Danio rerio: one gene and its partners. The protein of the gene in region 4 interacts with the protein of the main gene of each other region in a pairwise test. Links are inferred from orthologs where the notes say so. Each region holds a gene or a part of one and is shown on either strand. Other genes may lie near its edges.

Region 1 (3,517 bases), on a different chromosome or scaffold from region 4:
TATATTAAGGTTTTAGTTATGATTCTCTGCTGGATACTCCCAAAATAATTCAGCAGAAATCCACAGATTTTTACCAAAATTCTCTGCAAAAATAGCAAAAAACGTCCGCAGATTCAGTCTGGCCCTGCCTATTGCACAGGTATGTTTGTGGGAGTAGCCAAAATACATTGTACAAGTCCAAATTGTCATAAATGCCAATGAAATTTTGTGCATGCTTTTAACAACCATCATTAAAGGCTGGTTTACACTTCTGCGTCGAGTGATCAGCGTGACCCATGGTGTCTGGCTTGCGTGTAGCCGTGCATTTATACATCTGGTTGCTGTTTGTGTTGCTCTGCAATAACACTTCCAAAAAGCTATTTGGCAGTAGGGGTTTTTGTTCATTTGTGTTTAGTTTCTTCGTGTGCGTTTTGTTTTTTATAAACGCTACCTAAATGTACAAGTAGCTAAAACTCGCTCATTTAAAAGCGGGAACGGTGGCGAAACTTTAATCATGAAGTAAACGCAAAACAAAAGTTTCCATCTGGAGCTCCTTCATGGGACTCGACACATGTAAACACTCGCTTCATCAGGCTCGCAGCCATCAGCACCGCCCACATTCGTCACAGCTACCAAGCTGACCAATCACAGAGCTTGCGCTATGCGTCGTTGTGACATGTAGTTACATTTTTTGAGAGGTCAGTGTCGACATCAGCCATGGCGAGGGCTATGCGACCACGCGAAGGCTGCGCTGGACCATACGCATGCGCTTGACGCAGAAGCATACATCAGCCTTAAGTGTCATGACGCATTCATAATGACATTTTAAAATGTAGAGATGACATTGTTTGTGATGACAACATTACATAAAACCTGTTTTTGTCTGCGGCATGACAGCTTGACATTACCAAGACAACAAAATGTGTCATAAATCTGTCATAAACATGACTGTCATGAAGCAATTAAAAAGCTACGATTTTCAAATTCAATCACTGTGTTTGTGTTTAATTTTAGCAATTAGGCTCAGAAAATGCATAACTGGACAATATGCAATCAGCAGCCAAGTATAAAGAGTTATCAGTCTCCAGTATTTGCTGAATTTTTAATATCAGTGCATCCTTAACTAAAATAACACTGGCATTCTAATTTATTTTTGTTTTATTGAACCCTAAAAATGGCGACGTAGTGGCGCAGTGTGTAGCACGTTCTCCTCACAGCAAGAAGGTCGCTGGGTCGAGCCTCGGCTCAGTTGGCGTTATTGTGTGGAGTTTGCATGTTCTCCCTGCGTTCGCATGGGTTTCCTCCGGGTGCTCCAAAGACATGCGGTACAGGTGAATTGGGCTGGTTAAATTGTCCGTAGTGTATGATAAGTTGGCGGTTCATTCCGCTGTGGCGACCCCGGATTAATAAAGGGACTAAGCCGACAAGAAAATGAATGAATGAATGAATGAATAAACCCTGAAAATCAGTTTTATAATAAACAGACTGTTATCATTTACTGGTGTGGACACAAATTTAGCTACAGTTATGCTTCAAGTTAATGTTATCGTTCTTTGAGTGAACTTGCCCTAAAGCTAATAACATTTAGTATCATTAAACGTGCAGTAGGTGATTGTCTTCAGAAACTTATTTTGTTGTGCTGGTTGAAACTGTCTTTACATTCCAATAGTAATGATCTATATGTATTTATATGTATTGTTATATTCTGGGTAAGGCATAAAACTAAAAAAATGTTCATCCAATTAAAATTTGTTGGGCCAACATCTCCCATAATTCTGATTAGACGCCCAAACTGTCTGTCAACAAATGTAGACTTGTACGTCAGCACAAATCTGTTGACGCATATCCATCGCTTGCGTGTTCTTGTGCGCCGTGCTCACATGCACACAAGAGAGAGTGACATCGGTAAAAACAAACGCTGAATCAAAACTTTTTAAAATCCTCAATCAATATTGAAGTTAGTTTAGCACGCTGGAGGAAGGACGACACCAAAGCTGAAGTATTTCTGTTCAACAGGTAATGTCCTGTTTTAAAACTCTTTTACTCACGCAAAGATGGTGTAGATTGTATTGCCTTACAAATGGGTTATATGCACAGAAGTGTTGTTCAGCCACTGAAATCTTTTGGTGAAAGATTGACGTGACTATTTTCAGTTTTATAAGGCTTTTTACAGGATTGATAATGTAGGTTTTTATTGAGTTTAACAACAAATCATAAGTAAATAGCGCTATTCCGCCTAGCCTGCTTTACTGAGGTGAAGTTGGTTTTATATTCACATAGGTTCATTTTCGAACAATGACAGGCACTTTAGAACAAAGACTGAGAGAGTGAGACCAGAGATCCTTACATGCATAAAATATTGCACATTAGGACAAGTTTTGCTTGCTACACAACTGAAAACGTGCTTTTAAAGAAAACAGTTAATGGGTATATGCATGGGGACTTTTAATTTTGAATAAGCAATGAAAAATTAATAATTCAATCATAGCATGTAAGATCAGACTTGTTTTAAATTAATGATGTTCACTGCCTGATTGACATATGATATAAAGTGGGTCTCACAGCTGACAAGAAACACTGCATTAAATTCCAGTGTCATGTCATTAAAATATGAAAAATCATTTTACCACAGTATTTTCAATGGAGTTTCGGCACTCGCCTGCTGCTCCTGACGGTGCCTGCATTTAAACAATCTTTCACCTTGTTCTACCGTTGAACAATAAAATAAATGCTGAAGTCTATTTACTGATTATATTTAAATTAAATTAAATTATCGATGCTGTAAAAGAAACCTTGTGAAATTAAAGCCTTTCAGCAGTAAGTTTATCAGTGGCTGAAGAACACTTGTTATGTATGTAGTGCATTAAGCACACTATGGTATAATAGCGAGTGTGAATATCTGACCTCGTTTGATGTCGTCCAGCTGAGGCTCTGGTGAAGGGTTGTCTTTGGTAGGGGAGGTTTTGGCGCCCAGTCCTGGTTTGTTTGGCGTGCGGAACTGTGGGGTCGTCAGCTGGTTCGCTCTCACTGACTGCTGCTCGATACGAGCCTGGATTTTACTGCTGCCTTCAGCTCTAAAAACACAACATCACACACCTTTCCAGGTCATATTACAGCGCAAATGCTGCACAATGTGACAAAATCATATGGCTTCTGTCTGTCATGTTGTTAGGACACGGTGTTAGTTATCGTAACAACACTACTGCAACTGTTTACATCATATAACGCTCTACAGGATTTATGTCTGCTCACCGTGTTTTCTTGACCTGTATGCTGCTGCTCAGCTTCTCCAACATAAACTCCCCAGTGTCGTGATTGATGATGAGAACGCAGTCTTTCTGATAAGGCCTTTTGTTGCCCTTAAACACCGTCATTGGTGGAGTGGAGCCCTAAAGAGAAATCAGAGTATTCTAGAAAGGCTGTCATACATAAGCGGATATAAATGTTAAAGAGAACGCTGCTCTTACTGGTATGTGTGGTAAAGTGATGGTAACCTCATCTCCTTTTCCCACTTGTAAATCTCCTTCACAGGACGTAT
Region 2 (4,144 bases), on a different chromosome or scaffold from region 4:
GTTTTTCTCTTCTTCTATTGTCCAATTTTGGTGAGCCTGTGTGAATTGTAGCTTCAGTTTCCTGTTCTTAGCTGACAGGAGTGGCACCCCATGTGGTCTTGTGCTGCTGTAGCTTGTCCGTCTCAATTTTGATGTGTTGTGTGTTCAGTGATGCTCTTCTGCATACCTCGGTTGTAACGAGTCGTTATTGGAGTTACTGTTGCCTTTCTATCAGCTGGAACCAGTCTGGCCATTCTCCTCTGGCATCAACAATGCATTTGTGCCCACAGATCTGCCGCTCACTGTATATTTTCTTTTTTTTTTGGTCCATTCTCTGTAAACCCTAGAGATGGTTGTGCATGAAAATCCAAGTAGATCAGCAGTTTCTGAAATACTCAGATTACCAACAACCATGCCACATTCAAAATCACCTTTCTTCCCCATTCTGATGCTCTGAGGTTTGAACTGCAGCAGATCATCTTGACTATGTCTACATGCCTAAATGCATTGAGTTGCTTCCATGTGATTGGCTGATTAGAAATTTGCATTAATAAGCCTAACATACCTAATAAAGTGGCCGGTAAGTGTGTGTGTGTGTTTTGTCTTATATACATACATTCAGCATCTTTAAATCAGTAACTGAATATGTATGTGCTTTATCTGATGTTTTTAATTCTTTCCCTCATTAAAGAACACAAGCACACTTGCTTACAAAAGCAAGTGAAAATGTGAACGTGCATTTTTGAGATGCACTCAAAGACCCTGAACATGAAATCAACTTTTTTTTCAAATAATATTACCTCAAGTAAGAACTGACGGGTGGATTCCTTCAACCACAACCTGCTAGATCACACATGCAGAATGAGGCAGGAAGGGGCCGCCCACAGAGAAACGAACGGTAGTTTATTTGAAAGCGTCATATCTTACTGTAAAGCAGAATTTCTGTCATTTGCACTTTGCAATGTTTGCTTGCAACACCACATCAGAAGCAAAAGAGCAGCTCGCTCAGCTAGCATAATATGAGCGTGTTCAAGCACATAATGTGCCCGCTGTCTCTGATTCTGTCTTTCCATCACTTAGTAGGCAGTATTGTCCACTTCCTTTCTGAAACTCAGCATAATGTTGACACTTCTGGCTGCCTGCAGCTCTGTAGCAAACGGATGATCTCAGATTCTGTCGGTCACATGATTTCAGACTCTCTTCAAATCACTGGTCAAATAGACAGAACATTAACCAGACAAGAGAGAAGTAGAAGTGATGACAGTACTTCTGTCAAAGAGGGGAAGTTAATGCAGAGAGGGAACTCGTATGCATTCTAATTTGACTAAACTAAACTAAACACTGCACAGCTAAGCTCATGCTTTCAATAGTAGCACTCTGTGATTTTAAAACCATTGCTTAAGTGTCACACTTTCACACTTGCAGAAAACCACATGAAATACATCGAGAGCTCAACTGCACATTAACATTAGCATTTACAGCCTCATAAAAGTGTTTAATGCAAGAAAAAAGCTCACTTAACAGTTTCCAATGAACAAAACAGTCAACTGTCAAACAAACTGACAATAACTAACCTATTGAACCCAATACCAACTAATTCTAATCTGAGGTAACCATTTTAAAGAACTGAGCGGACACTGCATTTGAAATAACTCGTGACACTGGTGGCACAAAATAATGAGGTTTTTAATTCACAAGGAGAAAAAGATGAAAGAAAAAAAGGAAGGAGCAAAGCATATGACTTGCATTGCATCTCACTGTGGAGACCCCATGGCCTTTCAATTACAAACACATGCTCCTACTAGTTCGAGTTACTCTATGAATCGGTTCTTTTGAATGGTCGTTTCACAGTCAGTTGAACAATTCAAGTTAAACGATTACTGTGGTTGATAATGTCCTATATATTTAATTAATTTGAATACGCTTTTGTTTATACAAATTTATCCAAAAGTTAAGAATTGAACACCAGAACGTCAAAACAAATCGCTCGGTTCTATTTTTAGCCGATTCAATTAAAGATTCGGCTCAAAAGAACGATTCGTTAGCCAATAAGAACTCGCTTGCAGCTATCAGAATGGATGAACTTGATATGTCAACTGTTCTTTATAAGAATTTGCAGTATTTTGTTTTAAGAAGCTGCCTTGTGTGTCTAAACTACAGGAGAAAACAACCTTATTAACCCTGCCACAAATATACGCTCAAACTGGCAACCCAGGAAGTGGGGGAGACTTTGCTTCCCCCAAAAGTTGGCACTGCTTGTGCTTTTGTGGAGGAAAATAGCTATTTAAACTGAACACCTCATCCACACACTGAAAACTGACTCAACACTACAAGTAGGCTGCGTTAAGAAATGCACAGCAAGGTCAAATCACAGACTACATCCATAACTCGAGCGTTTTATACAGCAACAGTCTGCGTAAACACTTACCGGTGCTTTGCGTCTTTTACTGCGCGTCCACCGCTTACGAACCGAACGCAGCAACACTCATCCTCATCAAGCATCTACACAAACACAGAGGAACACAAGTTTTGGGCCACTCCTTCATGGCAGAAACACACACGCAAGTTCTCCCCGCTGTTTCCGCCCAGCGTCCTGCCTACAAGTCCATCACATTAGCTGGAATAAACATTCAAAGCTCATCGCTTGAACGCCGCAAGTAGCAATTCAGCACATATAAGCAGTATCACATCTCTTTAAATGAGAGAAGTACAACCCAATGTCTTGAATTGGACGCGATATCTTTTTAATTCGTTTCTTTACCCAGTTTTTCTTCCTCCAGCAGAACAGCAGACTCTTCGTTCTCTTTATCCGGGACATTCGTCTGTGATGCAACGTCCAGATGTGACTGACTGACTGACTGACTGACTGAGCTCAAACATCTGTCAAACTGTTGCAAGTGTGTGTGTGACACAAAACTGAGCTCTGTGTGGGGAAAAGTCACAGACATGTCAGTCACATTTTGGAAAAAGCTAAATAAAATAATGTTTTTTGACAGAAAACTCTTTTGTTGTTTAAATGTTGCAACTATTTGATTAAGAATACAACAGTATCCGTAGCGAGTGGGGGGGGGGGGGGGGGGGGGTTGTCTTTTTCTCTAAAAGTAGACCATTTTGATGATATTTTATGAAATATTTTGTGCTGGATTAGCTTGTCTTCTTCTATCACGTGCATGCTTTTTACAGTACCAAAATGGTGACTGTTTTGTCAAGTTGCTTCTAATAAAGTGCAAATTTTGTCAGTCCAAGCACACAACATTTAGTTTTTTTATTGTTATGAGGATTTCCCATAGACATACAGCAAGGGGTAGATTTCATGTTTTTGGGGCCCCAAGCAATTCCAGCCATGCGGCCCAAGTCCTGAAATGCACCCTTTCTACTCTTATTTATTTTTTATCTATATTGCTGTTTGTTATATCACTCAATCTTCTTTTCTACATTTTAAATGTGTTTTTAAAAAAATGAATTTGCAAGTAAAAATAATGCATTCATTTTTTTATAAATATGACTGCTGGACCACTCAATGATGGATATTTTATTTTGTAATATTATTATTACATAACATTACATTATTATAAGACTATATAGGAATTATCAATTTATGTCACAGATGACGTCACACAGGTTCAACCAGGCATTCCGGTTGCAAAAAAGACCAGTTGCAATAGCAAACATGTCGTGTTGTGCGGTAGGATGCCAAATTCTAAATTAAATATGAAATTATTTTAAATATTAAATTAAATTAATTAAATAAAAAATAAATTAAGCCCAAACTCCAAACACCACACAGCTTTTAATGCCAACTGCAGACATCTTTGACAAACAGCCATCAGGAGAGCTGAATGGTGTGAGGACCTAATTAAAAATGCTCGACTCTGCAGTTCTTATGTTATATCAAGTAAGTACACTCTATGCTGAATCATACTCATTACTCGTTTTTGATTGCAGCAATGATTTAACAAACAGTTAAATTTGGTTAATTAAACTGCGGACAGTGAATGCTTAGAATAAAATGTAAAAATGTACATTCACATACCCTGCCGTACAGGTGGATTTCGCTGTCAGAATGCAGTTATTTTGCTTGTTGGTGATTACCCAGGCCTTGTACAGTTCCGTCGTCTTTCCTTGTCTTTGGCTAGGCAGAACCTCGGTTTTTATCACTACCGTT
Region 3 (4,060 bases), on a different chromosome or scaffold from region 4:
AGATTAATCTGCTATGGCTGTAATGAAGTGTCAACATTATTTCAGCAGTGTCTCAACATGCCCAAATTCCACCAATCTCTTTGATCAAGTTTCTCCGTAGACTTGCAACACAACACAGATTGAACAGAATACCCTTGCAGATTTTACATTAAGTTTTACTGAGGGACAAAGTTATGTTTTTGACCTGACTTATAACCAGAGTCGGGCAGTGGGCAGAGTGGATGTGTCCACAGGCTCGGTTGGATGTTGCCACAGCTCTTGAAACTAGGTCTCGCTCCTCATTGTTTGAACAGAGAGGCCCAACGTACAGGAATTGGCATCAACACACAAGATTGGAGAGAGGAGGGGACGAAAGCGAGACTACTGTTGCATGCCAACTCCAAGTGACATTTCTCCAACAGTGACCAACGTAACAAGCTTTTTATGTACTTACAGTCAACACTGACTATTAAACTGCTATATTCATAAATTACATCATATCACTGAATATCAAAAAATCCACAAACTTGTGGATGGTAATGCTAACTGATGGCAGAAGCACGGCAGAAATAAAAAATAAAAATAAAAAAAAAATAGTAATGTTTTTGGATATAAAAGCTGAATTTAGCCTCTCACTGCAGATGGACCTGCAAGGCATGACTTCTGTTCAATGCTTTAGAGAAATTATCCACAAACGGCTCAATTTACATCCTGAAATGAAACATCTGCTTGTTCTTTAAAAAAAATAAAAAATAAAAAAATTTGAAAACACACACATTCACAAGAGTTCATGCATCGGTGTATAATGTAAAATTAAAAATACATGTACTATGAATATTTTAGGAATAGAATTACTATATTTAAATTTGAATTTAAATCAAACAATATTGAGAACTACATGCTCAAATCAGATGCAAATTAGAAAACAGTTTTAAAATAATAAAAATAAAACAATATTACCTTTTTAACAGCAATGTTTGTTTGTTTTTTTAATCAGTTTTATAATAAATTAAGCTAGGTTAACAAACACCTTTTGCCATAAACTTTAATCGTATAGACAAATATAACACTTAACACACATACTGACTAGCCATTCTTAAACAGAAGTCACAATGCTTATCTTTTGAGTCACAATATTTAAATTAATCAAAAAGAAAAATTGACTTTTCGGCAGGGCTGCACAATTGTTTCAGTATCGATATTGCAATATGTGCACCTGCAATAGTCACATTGCAAGATATACAATGTGGAGTCTGGATTATAGTTGACCAGGAGCTAAAGAATTGTATTTAATTACAGTTTTTTTATACGGAATTTATGCAAAAGAAAAAAAAAAGGTTCCCTCGCTTAAAATTTTTGTCTTGTTTCTTGTCCAAATACGTACATTTCAAAGCAAAAACAAGATTGTTTTACTCCACTGGTAGAAAATTTAGCTTGTTTTTAGAAAAAAAAAACAAAAAAACTTTTATTTCTTCTAAAGTTGAAAACAAAAAAATATTTTTACTTGATCTAAAATTTTTGTTTAGATATTTGGACTAGTAATGAGACAAAAGGGAATTTTTTTTGCATTGTGGTTATTCAATTTCTGTACTTCAATACAGAAAACAGTCAAACAGAGCTATTCAACATATCTTGTGAAACTGTATTCATATTACAATAATTATTGCAGAAAAAAAAAAATCACAATATCAGATTTTTCCAACATCGTGCAGTCCTACTTTTCTGCATCTTAAAGAATGCATCTGTTGACGTAAACACATCCAAAAAACAGTCATTTAAGACATCACCCACATGCACAGAACGTTCCAGTTTCTATTTTCAATCAAGTATTTACATTAGAAGTATTTATGTCCTATTGGACGGATTAGATTTCCAACATTTAAAGCACCCCTAATAATATTAATGAAATTTAAATCACATTTGGCCAATTCATTCAGACTAATGTAATTACGTGTGAATTATTTTCTTCCTTTCCTGGACTGGGCTACAAGTCCTGATTACAAAACAGATTATTAGAAAAATACCTTCAAACTGTTTATATATATAAAAAAATAATAATAAAAAAATAAAAAAAAGTAATCTTAGAAACACATCATGTGTCTGTATAAGCATATAGATTATACTGTGCGTGTGTGTGTGTTGAAATCAGTATGACTGCGTGTACAATTCTTATCCCGTTGCTCTTTTTCTCCACCGGGATTGCTAATGTTTCCTTTCATTGATCGGACTCTTCACTGGCTCTTCCACCATTATCCTATACGCCACTTCCTACGCTGTCAGACCATCATCACGTGAAACCCAAGACCCTCAAAAGGACATGAAATGAGGACAGAGAACAAGGTGGAGAAGCTGGCGATGAGCAGGAGCCATAAAACCAACCACTCCACAGAATGCAAAACCCACTGCTGAAAAGCGGCCAAACGAGAATATGAACATATGAAATAGTACTGCTTAGGTTTTGGGCTGGAATAGGTCAGAACATAACAATGACCCCTAAATCTTTGCTGGTCAAGTCAAGTGTGTGTAATGCTCCAATGACGCAACGCACAACCAAAATGTAATTTCAGCATCATTCTCCAACAATTGAGCGGCACAGTTCTGCATCTATGCAGAGAGGAGGGTGTGTTTGCAGGCCTGTCGCAACCAGCACTTTTTAGGAATCCATCATACACCATTCCAGACTCTATATGCAAATCTGGATGTTTCATCATCATAAAGCACACGGTGTATGCATCAGAGAGTGTTACTTACAGTTCCCACTCCAGGACTTAAGGAGAGATTTGATGCTGATCTCAAAGAACACAGAATCCTGCAGACTCAGCATGACGCCACCAGAGGACTGTGGGTAAGTGAAGGCACTGGTTTCTGCAGCCAGTCCCGCTGGCTTTGCGCTCCAAACGTCCGTTGAGCTCACCCGCACATCTCGTCTTGCCTTCAGGCAGGCAAAGTTTCAGCCTCTGCCCAGGCTTGCGAAGAAGCGCATGCTGCCGAATGTGCAATGACACTCACGTGTGGGCGCATACACACACACACACACACACACTCACATCAGCTGCAGGGCTCCGAGAGGCCCATAAGATCCAGCAGAAGTGGAAACAAGTGAGCAAGACAAATTACGACAAGAAAAACGAGACAAAGCTGTGTCCTCAAATGTCTTGAGTGAGTATCATCTGCTCTGTACAGCCTGCAACGCTGCGAGGACAAACTTTGTTCCGTTAATGTCTCAGCGCCTAAGTGAACGAGAGAATGGTGAGGATGGACTCCCAGCAGAGAGTAGCAACACTCTCTCTTGCTCGCGTAACTCTTCCTGTCTGTGCTGGGTCCTAGTGCCTGAAGGATAAGCACCCACTTTCATTCACTCCGTATGGCTCTCTCTCCATCGCCCTCCCTCTCTCTTGCTCTGTGAAGAGAGCGTTTGTTTCAATGGCAGAATAGAAGGAGGGGAGGGTGATGTCATCAGCACGCTGCTAGCCTGCTCTGGCTTCACTCCAGCGCTTCAAATACATGTCATTACGGCTACCGCCTCACTCTCTCCTCTATTGCTCCATCCTTTTCTTCAGAGGCTTGTGAAAACGCAAACTTCCTGTAGCAACACTGATGTGTCACCACTAACTGCAGTAAAGTGAGAGAGGTAGAGACAAAGACTGAGGGGGAGACTGAAATCTAGAGTAGGTGTGTGAGACAGAAGTGACTTTAAAAAAAGGCTAAAAGGCAGTCGGGCAAGATGGAAGAGAATAGGACACGTAAAACATCTACTAACTACAAACTAGTTTCAAATACTTGTTTAACCATCTCTGCAGCTCACTTTACTGAGTTTTAGATAATCACGCATCACTACAATGCGAGGTTTCAGCTACATTCATTCTTCCATAGCAGGACGCAACACCAAAATTCTTTTCCACCACGGCTACAATACAGCTTTTCATTCAAACCTTCCGTTTTTGTTGGGGTTTTTTTTAATAGCAGGTTATAAATCACACCAAAACATATTAAAATCTAAGTGAATTATAACACCAAGCTATTTGGTAATTGTAGTAGTGCTGTGCAGTATTTGTTTAACCCTTTAACGTTACTTGCTGAC
Region 4 (3,517 bases):
TGCTTGTCTGAAGCATCATGTCTGGGGTGTGTCTAGTAGATCTAATCGGATCCCTTATGCCTAGTTCACACTAGAGGATTTTAAGCCTGATTTGAGCTCGATTTGGAAGTTAACGAGCTCGCCGACAGATCGGGCTGTGATCGGGAAGAAATCTGCGGGTGCTCGGTGCTCGCCGCTCTTTATGTGTGAACTACTAAACAACACATCAACGAGGCTCGCTGACGCGTCGCCGACACCTCGCAGACGGAAATCCAACATTCAGCATGCTAAATATTCCAGAGCAGTCGGCCGGCTCAACCCCACGTGTGGTCAGATATAGTAACGAGCTGCAGCCAATGAGAGAGCATATCAGCATAAGCTGAATGCCTGTGTGTTCAGGAGCTCAGCAGAAACATCTGTGATTGGTCAGAATGGGCATCAACGCACTCGCTTCATTCTGCGTTAGCACAGACATGAGAGTAGGCTATATTAACAGTGGAACTAGAATTCTTTAACTATTAGAATTACCATACTGCTCATTCTGACCGTTCTTATATAAACGCCATACTGTCACAACATATTTACATTCAAAGCTATTATTAAGATATTATAATTAAGCTTTGAATGTTTGGCATCATATTTAATGACACTATTACCCTAAAAATATAATATTTTTTGGTAATACAGCCTATAAATATGTAGTTAAGATACTAAAACACTTAAAGGTCTTGGCTTTCATTTTCACTTTCAAACAGGAGCTATTTAACAGCACAGAATATGCTGTTTTGAAAGATATCTGAAGTAAATTGATGTTTTTGCCATCAGAAAGTTTTGTTTATGTTAGCAGGAAGTTGCCAGGCAAGAAAATGCACACACATTTAAAGTCACAGCGAAAAGTATCAGCCATGCATGCAGTCATTTTGACCAATATGGTAATTTAAGGCAGAAATGCTCAGTTCTTTACTGTTTTGTAATAAAAAAAATAACAATGTCAGAAAGAAATACACTGATAGTTAGAAAACGGCAGGGTGTTATAAATATGTTAGTTTTATTTCAAAGAGTTATAAAATTACAAAAATTAAAAACTCTCTGTATATCTTTCCACTGGAACCTTGCAGATGAGTGATTAATCCGCTGATAAATCAGCTGATTTGACTATGTTTTTAAATGCTTTCTCCAAAGCTTGAAACGCTGTCAGTGATGTCATCAGCACACAAGCAGCCAATAGTGTTCCGCTTTTTCTGACGACTCCTCCCTCAAATTTTCATTGGCTGTGGTTTGGTATCTTGAATGAGCTGATGGGGAATGAGTTGTTGTCAGATCATGTAGTGTGTGACCCCCCTCTTGTGGATCGTTCACGGAGTGTTGCGTAGTGTGAACACCACAGAGATTAAAAGACACAAAGTCAAGTCATGTAGTGTGAACAGCACAGTGATCTGCTGATGTTTAAAATCCTGTAGTGTGAACTAGGCTTTATTTGTGTCAGTACTTGATCCCCATTATAAAGATCATTAATATGCGAAAATAAAGCCTCACACACCCGAATTGATCCAGAAATTATCCATCCCTAAAGCTACTATATTTGTGACTATCAGTTCGTTGCCATATTTCTGCTAGAGCCCTTATTTTGCATTATAAAAGCTCATTTTTTTGTTTTTGGGGGTCTTCAACAACAGGCTGATATGCATGCAAAGTCAAAAAACACTTTCATTGAAAACAAGTAAAAAGCAAATATACTTTAATATGTTCTGTATATTATTAAACTAGATGGAGCAACATTACAACAGAAGCTTAAAATGTATTCAGTCTGATAAAACCGCACTGCTTCTACCCACATTATTCCAATCTGAAAAACCAGAAGCACTTGACTATGGCATAATATAAGTTCTGCTGCTTTTGTTCCATGTTCATCTATCATCAGCAATAGCTTCAGCATTTCAGCCTGACTCTGCTTATTACTACCATGATAAGAAATTCTGAATGCTTTAGCTCATCCATGATCATAATTTCTGCAGGACATTATTACATAAATATATATATATATATATATATATATATATATATATATATATATATATATATATATATATATATATATATATATATATATATATTCATATTTGTACCATATCAGTCAAAACTTTATGCAGTAGCCGTTTACCACAGTTTTAGAAGCTACTAAGGAATCAAAGGTCTTGAGCACACTGCAAAATTAGGTGAATTACAAAATTTGCACGAAACTGAAATATCCAATCAGCATCAAGAACAGGACAAGTTGAGATCTGTTTCTTCATTTATTCATTCATTTTTTTTTTGGCTTAGTCCCTTTATTAATCTGGGGTCGCCACAGCGGAACGAACCGCCAACTTATCCAGCACGTTTTTAATGCAGCAGGTGCCCTTCCAGCCGCAACCCATCTCTGGGAAACATCCACACACATTCATTCACACACACACACACACACACACACACACACACACACACACACACACACACACACACACACACACACACACACACACACACACACACACACACACACTACGGGCAATTTACCCTACCCAATTCAACTGTACTGCATGTCTTTGGACTGTGGGGCAAACCGGAGCACCTGGAGGAAACCCACGCGAATGCAGGAAGAAAATGCAAACTCTACACAGAAAAGCCAACTGAGTCGAGGCTCAAACCAGCGACCCTCTTGCTGTGAGGTGACAGCACTACCTACTGCGCCACTGCGTCACCCCTGTTTCTTTATTACAACAGATATTAATATTAATTCATCACCCAAAACGAAAGAAGTTTTATGTGTTTATGCATTTTCATTACAATTTTTTTCTTTTTATTTCTTTGGTTAGGAAAAATTTTACAATTTATGCTAGTTTTGCTCAACACACATCATCAACCTTAACCCTCTGGATGGCTGTTTGGTCATTTTAACAGAAAGAAATGTGCTTTTTTAGTACAAATGGTTCAAAAACTTTTTAAGGTTTAAAAATAAAGGTTTTTTAAGCACTTGCCATGGAAACAAAAAAAAAAAATTTAAAGACTTTTCATGGTCAAACAAGACAGCTTTGATAGAGAATGGAAAAGCTATTTCAGTTACATATTTAAGTAGACATTTGTATACTCTATTGTATGCTCAAACTGGTTACTGGGTCATAAATGGATTAAGCTTAAATAATTTAGTATGATTCCCTAAAAATAAAATATAATATTAAAAACATTATTAAATTAAATTATACAACATCAATATGGCATGAATCTATAAACCAGTTTACCAGTCCACAATATGCATTTACCTGCTGAAGTTGCTGCTCAGTGGAAAACCCAAGGCCGTACACAGTGTTCGCTCTGCTGTCTGCCCACTGACCAAACTTCTGTGATGTTTTTGTGAAAGTCATATTAGGTGTGATTGTGCTGTTGATAATGGCCTGCATAACAGTAAAAACAAAACAAAAAATTTAGCAAAATTAAGATGCAAATAACGCATATGACATGCTAAAATTGTTTTGAGGAGAGGTCTAAACATTAAACATCC
Region 5 (3,517 bases), on a different chromosome or scaffold from region 4:
TCAAAAAAGTGTCTTCAGCAAAAACCCATTCATGTGAAACTGAAGAATGAAGCAAGAATGCAAAAAAATGTGTTTAAAACATAGACTGAGCCCAACATAAAAGACGTTTTAAAATATCCTTATCTACTCTGCTGTAGATGATTTTGAGATTTTTAATTATACAGTAAACAAAACCTGGCTAAAACAGGGTGTACGTACACAGCCCGTGGCTCGGTGAAGACGTCTGCATGTATGTGCATCATGAGGTCACCGCCTGCTGTGTACTCCATCACAAAACACACATGTTCTGGAGTCTGGAAACACGCAAACAGGTTGACAAGGAAGGGGTGTTGTGCACCGTTCACTGCCTCGAAAATACGCTTCTCACACATCAAACTGATGAAAAAACAGAGAAAGAAAATAAAGAAATCAGGAACAAACTTCAACTCAAAGCAAAATCCCCGAAAAAAAAGCTCTTATGTTTACCTTTCTACTTCATCTCTGGCTACAATGTCTCCTTTCTTTAGAGCTTTAATGGCATACATACTCCCTGACTTCTTATATTCCGCCAGCAGCACCTGATAGACACAGATATGACATGAGAAACTAAACTCAAAGAGAAAGAGAAGCTGAGGGTGAAGAAGGCAGAAAATCACCTTTCCAAAATGGCCTCTGCCAAGAACTGCAATTAGTCGGAAATCCTGCAGGCTCAGAGAAGTCTTCTTCTGTTTACTACACACACACACACACACACACACACACACACACACACAGACACACACACTTAAAAAACACAAAAATACCTTAGATATAGTGGGAGTTATGTGTTTGACGGTACCTGCTCAATGAGTGTGTTCTGATAGGCGTGGTGACGTCTGGAGCAGAGAGAGGCTCGGTGGACGGCTGCCTCTCCTATGAAAGAAAAAAAGAAAGGGGAGGAGTTAGAGACCAATGGGAGGGGCTAAATACAAAGAGGAGGGGCTGCAGATAGATAGGAGGGACTAAATTTATAGAGGAGTGATTATAGTTGAGAGGTGTTCATTATAAAGAAATTTAATAGGTTTATCAAGACTTAATAGGTTAAATATAAAAAGTAGTAGTTACAGGCAGATGGGAGGAGCTTAATATAAAGAGGAGGAGCTGTAGATATATGGGAGGGGCTCATTATAAAGAAGTTACATATACTCAGAACAGTTTACATATAAAGAGGAGGGGTTATGGATAGATGGGAGTGGCTTGATTTAACGGGGAGGTGTTATGAAGATGAATGGGCAAAATATAGGGGTATAAAATATAGATTTGAGGGGCTTTATATAGAGAGGAGGAGATGCAGACTGATGGGAGGGGTGCATTATAAAGAGGAGGAGTTGCAGGTTTAAATGGAGGGGCTTAATATAAAGATGAGTTGCAGATAGTTAGAAGGGGCTAAATATAAAGAGAAGAAGTTATGGATGGGACGTGCTTAATATTGAGAGAAGAAGATGCAGACAGATAGAAGGGGTGCATTATAAGGAGGAGGAGTTGCAGATATAAATGGAGGGGCTTAATATAAAGAGGAAGAGTTATACATAGTTGGGATGGGCTTAATATAAAGAGGAGGGGTTACAGATAGATGGAAGGGACTTCATATAAAGAGGAGTTACAGATAGATAGGAGAGTCTTAATAAAGGAGTTACATTAATAAAGGAGTTACATATAGATAAAACAGATCAAATATAAAGAGAAGGGGTTACAGATAGATGGGAGGGGCTTAATATAAAGAGGAGAATTCACCGATAGATGGGAGGGGCCTAATATAAAGAAGAGGAGTAACAGGTAGATGGGAGGGGCTTAATATAAAGGAGTTACATATAGATAAAACAGATTAAATATAAAGAGGAGGGGTTAAAGATAGATGGGAGGGGCTTAATATAAAGAGAAGTTACCAATAGATGGGAGGGGCTTAATATAAAGAAGAGGAGTAACAGGTAGATGGGAGGGGCTTAATATAAAGGAGTTACATATAGATAAAACAGATTAAATATAAAGAGGAGGGGTTACAGATAGATGGGAGGGGCTTAATATAAAGAGGAGAAGTTACCAATAGATGGGAGGGGCTTAATATAAAGAAGAGGAGTAACAGGTAGATGGGAGGGGCTTAATATAAAGGAGTTACATATAGATAAAACAGATTAAATATAAAGAGGAGGGGTTAAAGATAGATGGGAGGGGCTTAATATAAAGAGAAGTTACCAATAGATGGGAGGGGCTTAATATAAAGAAGAGGAGTAACAGGTAGATGGGAGGGGCTTAATATAAAGGAGTTACATATAGATAAAACAGATTAAATATAAAGAGGAGGGGTTACCGATAAATGGGAGGGGCTTAATATAAAGAGGAGGAGTTACAGGTAGATGGGAGGGGCTTAATATGAAGGAGTTACATATAGATATAACAGATTAAATATAAAGCGGAGGGGTTAAATATAGATGGGAGAGGTTTAACATAAATAGGAGTTGCAGATAGTTAGAAGGGGATAAATGTAAAGAGGAGAAGTTACAGATAAATGAGAGGGGTTCATTATAAAGTAGTTACATATAGATAAAACGGGGAATATAAATAAGAGGAGTTAAGGGTGGATGAGAGGGTCTACATATAAAAAAAGAATCACAGAAAAACAGGAGGCTACAGAGATGAAAAGAATAAGAGAGAAGCTGCTTTATAAGAGGGGCTAAATATAGAGGCGTTATACAGTAGTTAAACAGGAGGAATTACATTTAAAGAGGAGGGGTTAAAGTAGATGGGAGGGGTTATGGAGGAAGGGAAAAAGCTTACATATGAGAGGATTTAAAGTAAAAAAAAAAGAAAGAATAAAGACGTTAAAAGAGAGAGAAAGTCTCTAACCGGAGTGCTTATATCTGTCACCTCCCGCCGGATGTCCACCTTCATTGGTGAATCAAAATCTAAACTCAACTTCTCCACTGATATCTCCCTGTAACAAACACATATGTTAGTAACTGCAAAAAAATATCTAAGAACAAATGTAATTTCAGTTAAGTATGGACATTTTAGACTTTTATAAATAATAAACAGGATGACAAAGATGTAAATCTACCATTTTATCTAAATATGTACTATTTGTGTAACATTATAACCTTAACAAAAAGATACACAAGCAACCGTTTTTGTTTTGTTGACACTGTTATTACAAATTGCGGAAGATGGTACAGGCACATCTGATGGTGTGTGTGATTTACCCAGTCTGTAGAGTGTGCGCGTTAGGGCTGTAGGTTCCTGTGTTGTTGACGGTTGGTATGGCGTTCCTCAGTAACCTCACGAATGTGCCAATATCAACGTTCATCTGTCGAGCTCGCAAAAATGCTTTACCTGTGTATGATCACAAACAAACACATACACAAAAGAGAAAAGTTACAACACTGACCACTAGATGGAGCTCACTGACCTCATGCCATCATTTACCCATCCTCTTGTTCCAAATCTGTTTGATTTTCTTTCTTCTATTGAACACAAAGGATGATATACTGAAGAATGGTGAAAA

Evidence for each region.
Region 1: the proteins of homer3b (region 4) and eaf1 interact in binary tests that used the Homo sapiens proteins (3 or more experiments, as listed by UniProt). The two-hybrid records come from large-scale screens. The link is inferred for Danio rerio from reciprocal best matches to the Homo sapiens genes HOMER3 and EAF1.
Region 2: the proteins of homer3b (region 4) and wipf1b interact in binary tests that used the Homo sapiens proteins (3 or more experiments, as listed by UniProt). The two-hybrid records come from large-scale screens. The link is inferred for Danio rerio from reciprocal best matches to the Homo sapiens genes HOMER3 and WIPF1.
Region 3: the proteins of homer3b (region 4) and fryl interact in binary tests that used the Homo sapiens proteins (3 or more experiments, as listed by UniProt). The two-hybrid records come from large-scale screens. The link is inferred for Danio rerio from reciprocal best matches to the Homo sapiens genes HOMER3 and FRYL.
Region 5: the proteins of homer3b (region 4) and pkn1a interact in binary tests that used the Homo sapiens proteins (3 or more experiments, as listed by UniProt). The two-hybrid records come from large-scale screens. The link is inferred for Danio rerio from reciprocal best matches to the Homo sapiens genes HOMER3 and PKN1.

What each region holds. Positions count from the first base shown.
Region 1 is NC_133191.1:7,232,713-7,236,229, reverse strand, and holds part of eaf1 (ELL-associated factor 1), read right to left. Parts: coding exon 3,447-3,517; intron 3,369-3,446; coding exon 3,232-3,368; intron 3,054-3,231; coding exon 2,884-3,053; exon of another isoform or gene 1-2,883. UniProt on the Homo sapiens protein: Acts as a transcriptional transactivator of ELL and ELL2 elongation activities.
Region 2 is NC_133181.1:11,765,604-11,769,747, forward strand, and holds the start of wipf1b (WAS/WASL-interacting protein family member 1), read right to left. Parts: upstream 2,804-4,144; 5' UTR 2,741-2,803; intron 2,494-2,740; exon of another isoform or gene 2,482-2,493; 5' UTR 2,408-2,481; intron 1-2,407. UniProt on the Homo sapiens protein: Plays a role in the reorganization of the actin cytoskeleton. Contributes with NCK1 and GRB2 in the recruitment and activation of WASL.
Region 3 is NC_133195.1:25,915,723-25,919,782, reverse strand, and holds the start of fryl (protein furry homolog-like), read right to left. Parts: upstream 2,804-4,060; coding exon 2,731-2,803; intron 1-2,730. UniProt on the Homo sapiens protein: Plays a key role in maintaining the integrity of polarized cell extensions during morphogenesis, regulates the actin cytoskeleton and plays a key role in patterning sensory neuron dendritic fields by promoting avoidance between homologous dendrites as well as by limiting dendritic branching.
Region 4 is NC_133186.1:13,952,929-13,956,445, reverse strand, and holds part of homer3b (homer protein homolog 3b), read right to left. Parts: intron 3,411-3,517; coding exon 3,279-3,410; intron 1-3,278. UniProt on the Homo sapiens protein: Postsynaptic density scaffolding protein. Binds and cross-links cytoplasmic regions of GRM1, GRM5, ITPR1, DNM3, RYR1, RYR2, SHANK1 and SHANK3.
Region 5 is NC_133176.1:49,108,216-49,111,732, reverse strand, and holds part of pkn1a (serine/threonine-protein kinase N1), read right to left. Parts: intron 3,346-3,517; coding exon 3,216-3,345; intron 2,951-3,215; coding exon 2,863-2,950; intron 892-2,862; coding exon 818-891; intron 712-817; coding exon 636-711; intron 558-635; coding exon 466-557; intron 376-465; coding exon 199-375; intron 1-198. UniProt on the Homo sapiens protein: PKC-related serine/threonine-protein kinase involved in various processes such as regulation of the intermediate filaments of the actin cytoskeleton, cell migration, tumor cell invasion and transcription regulation.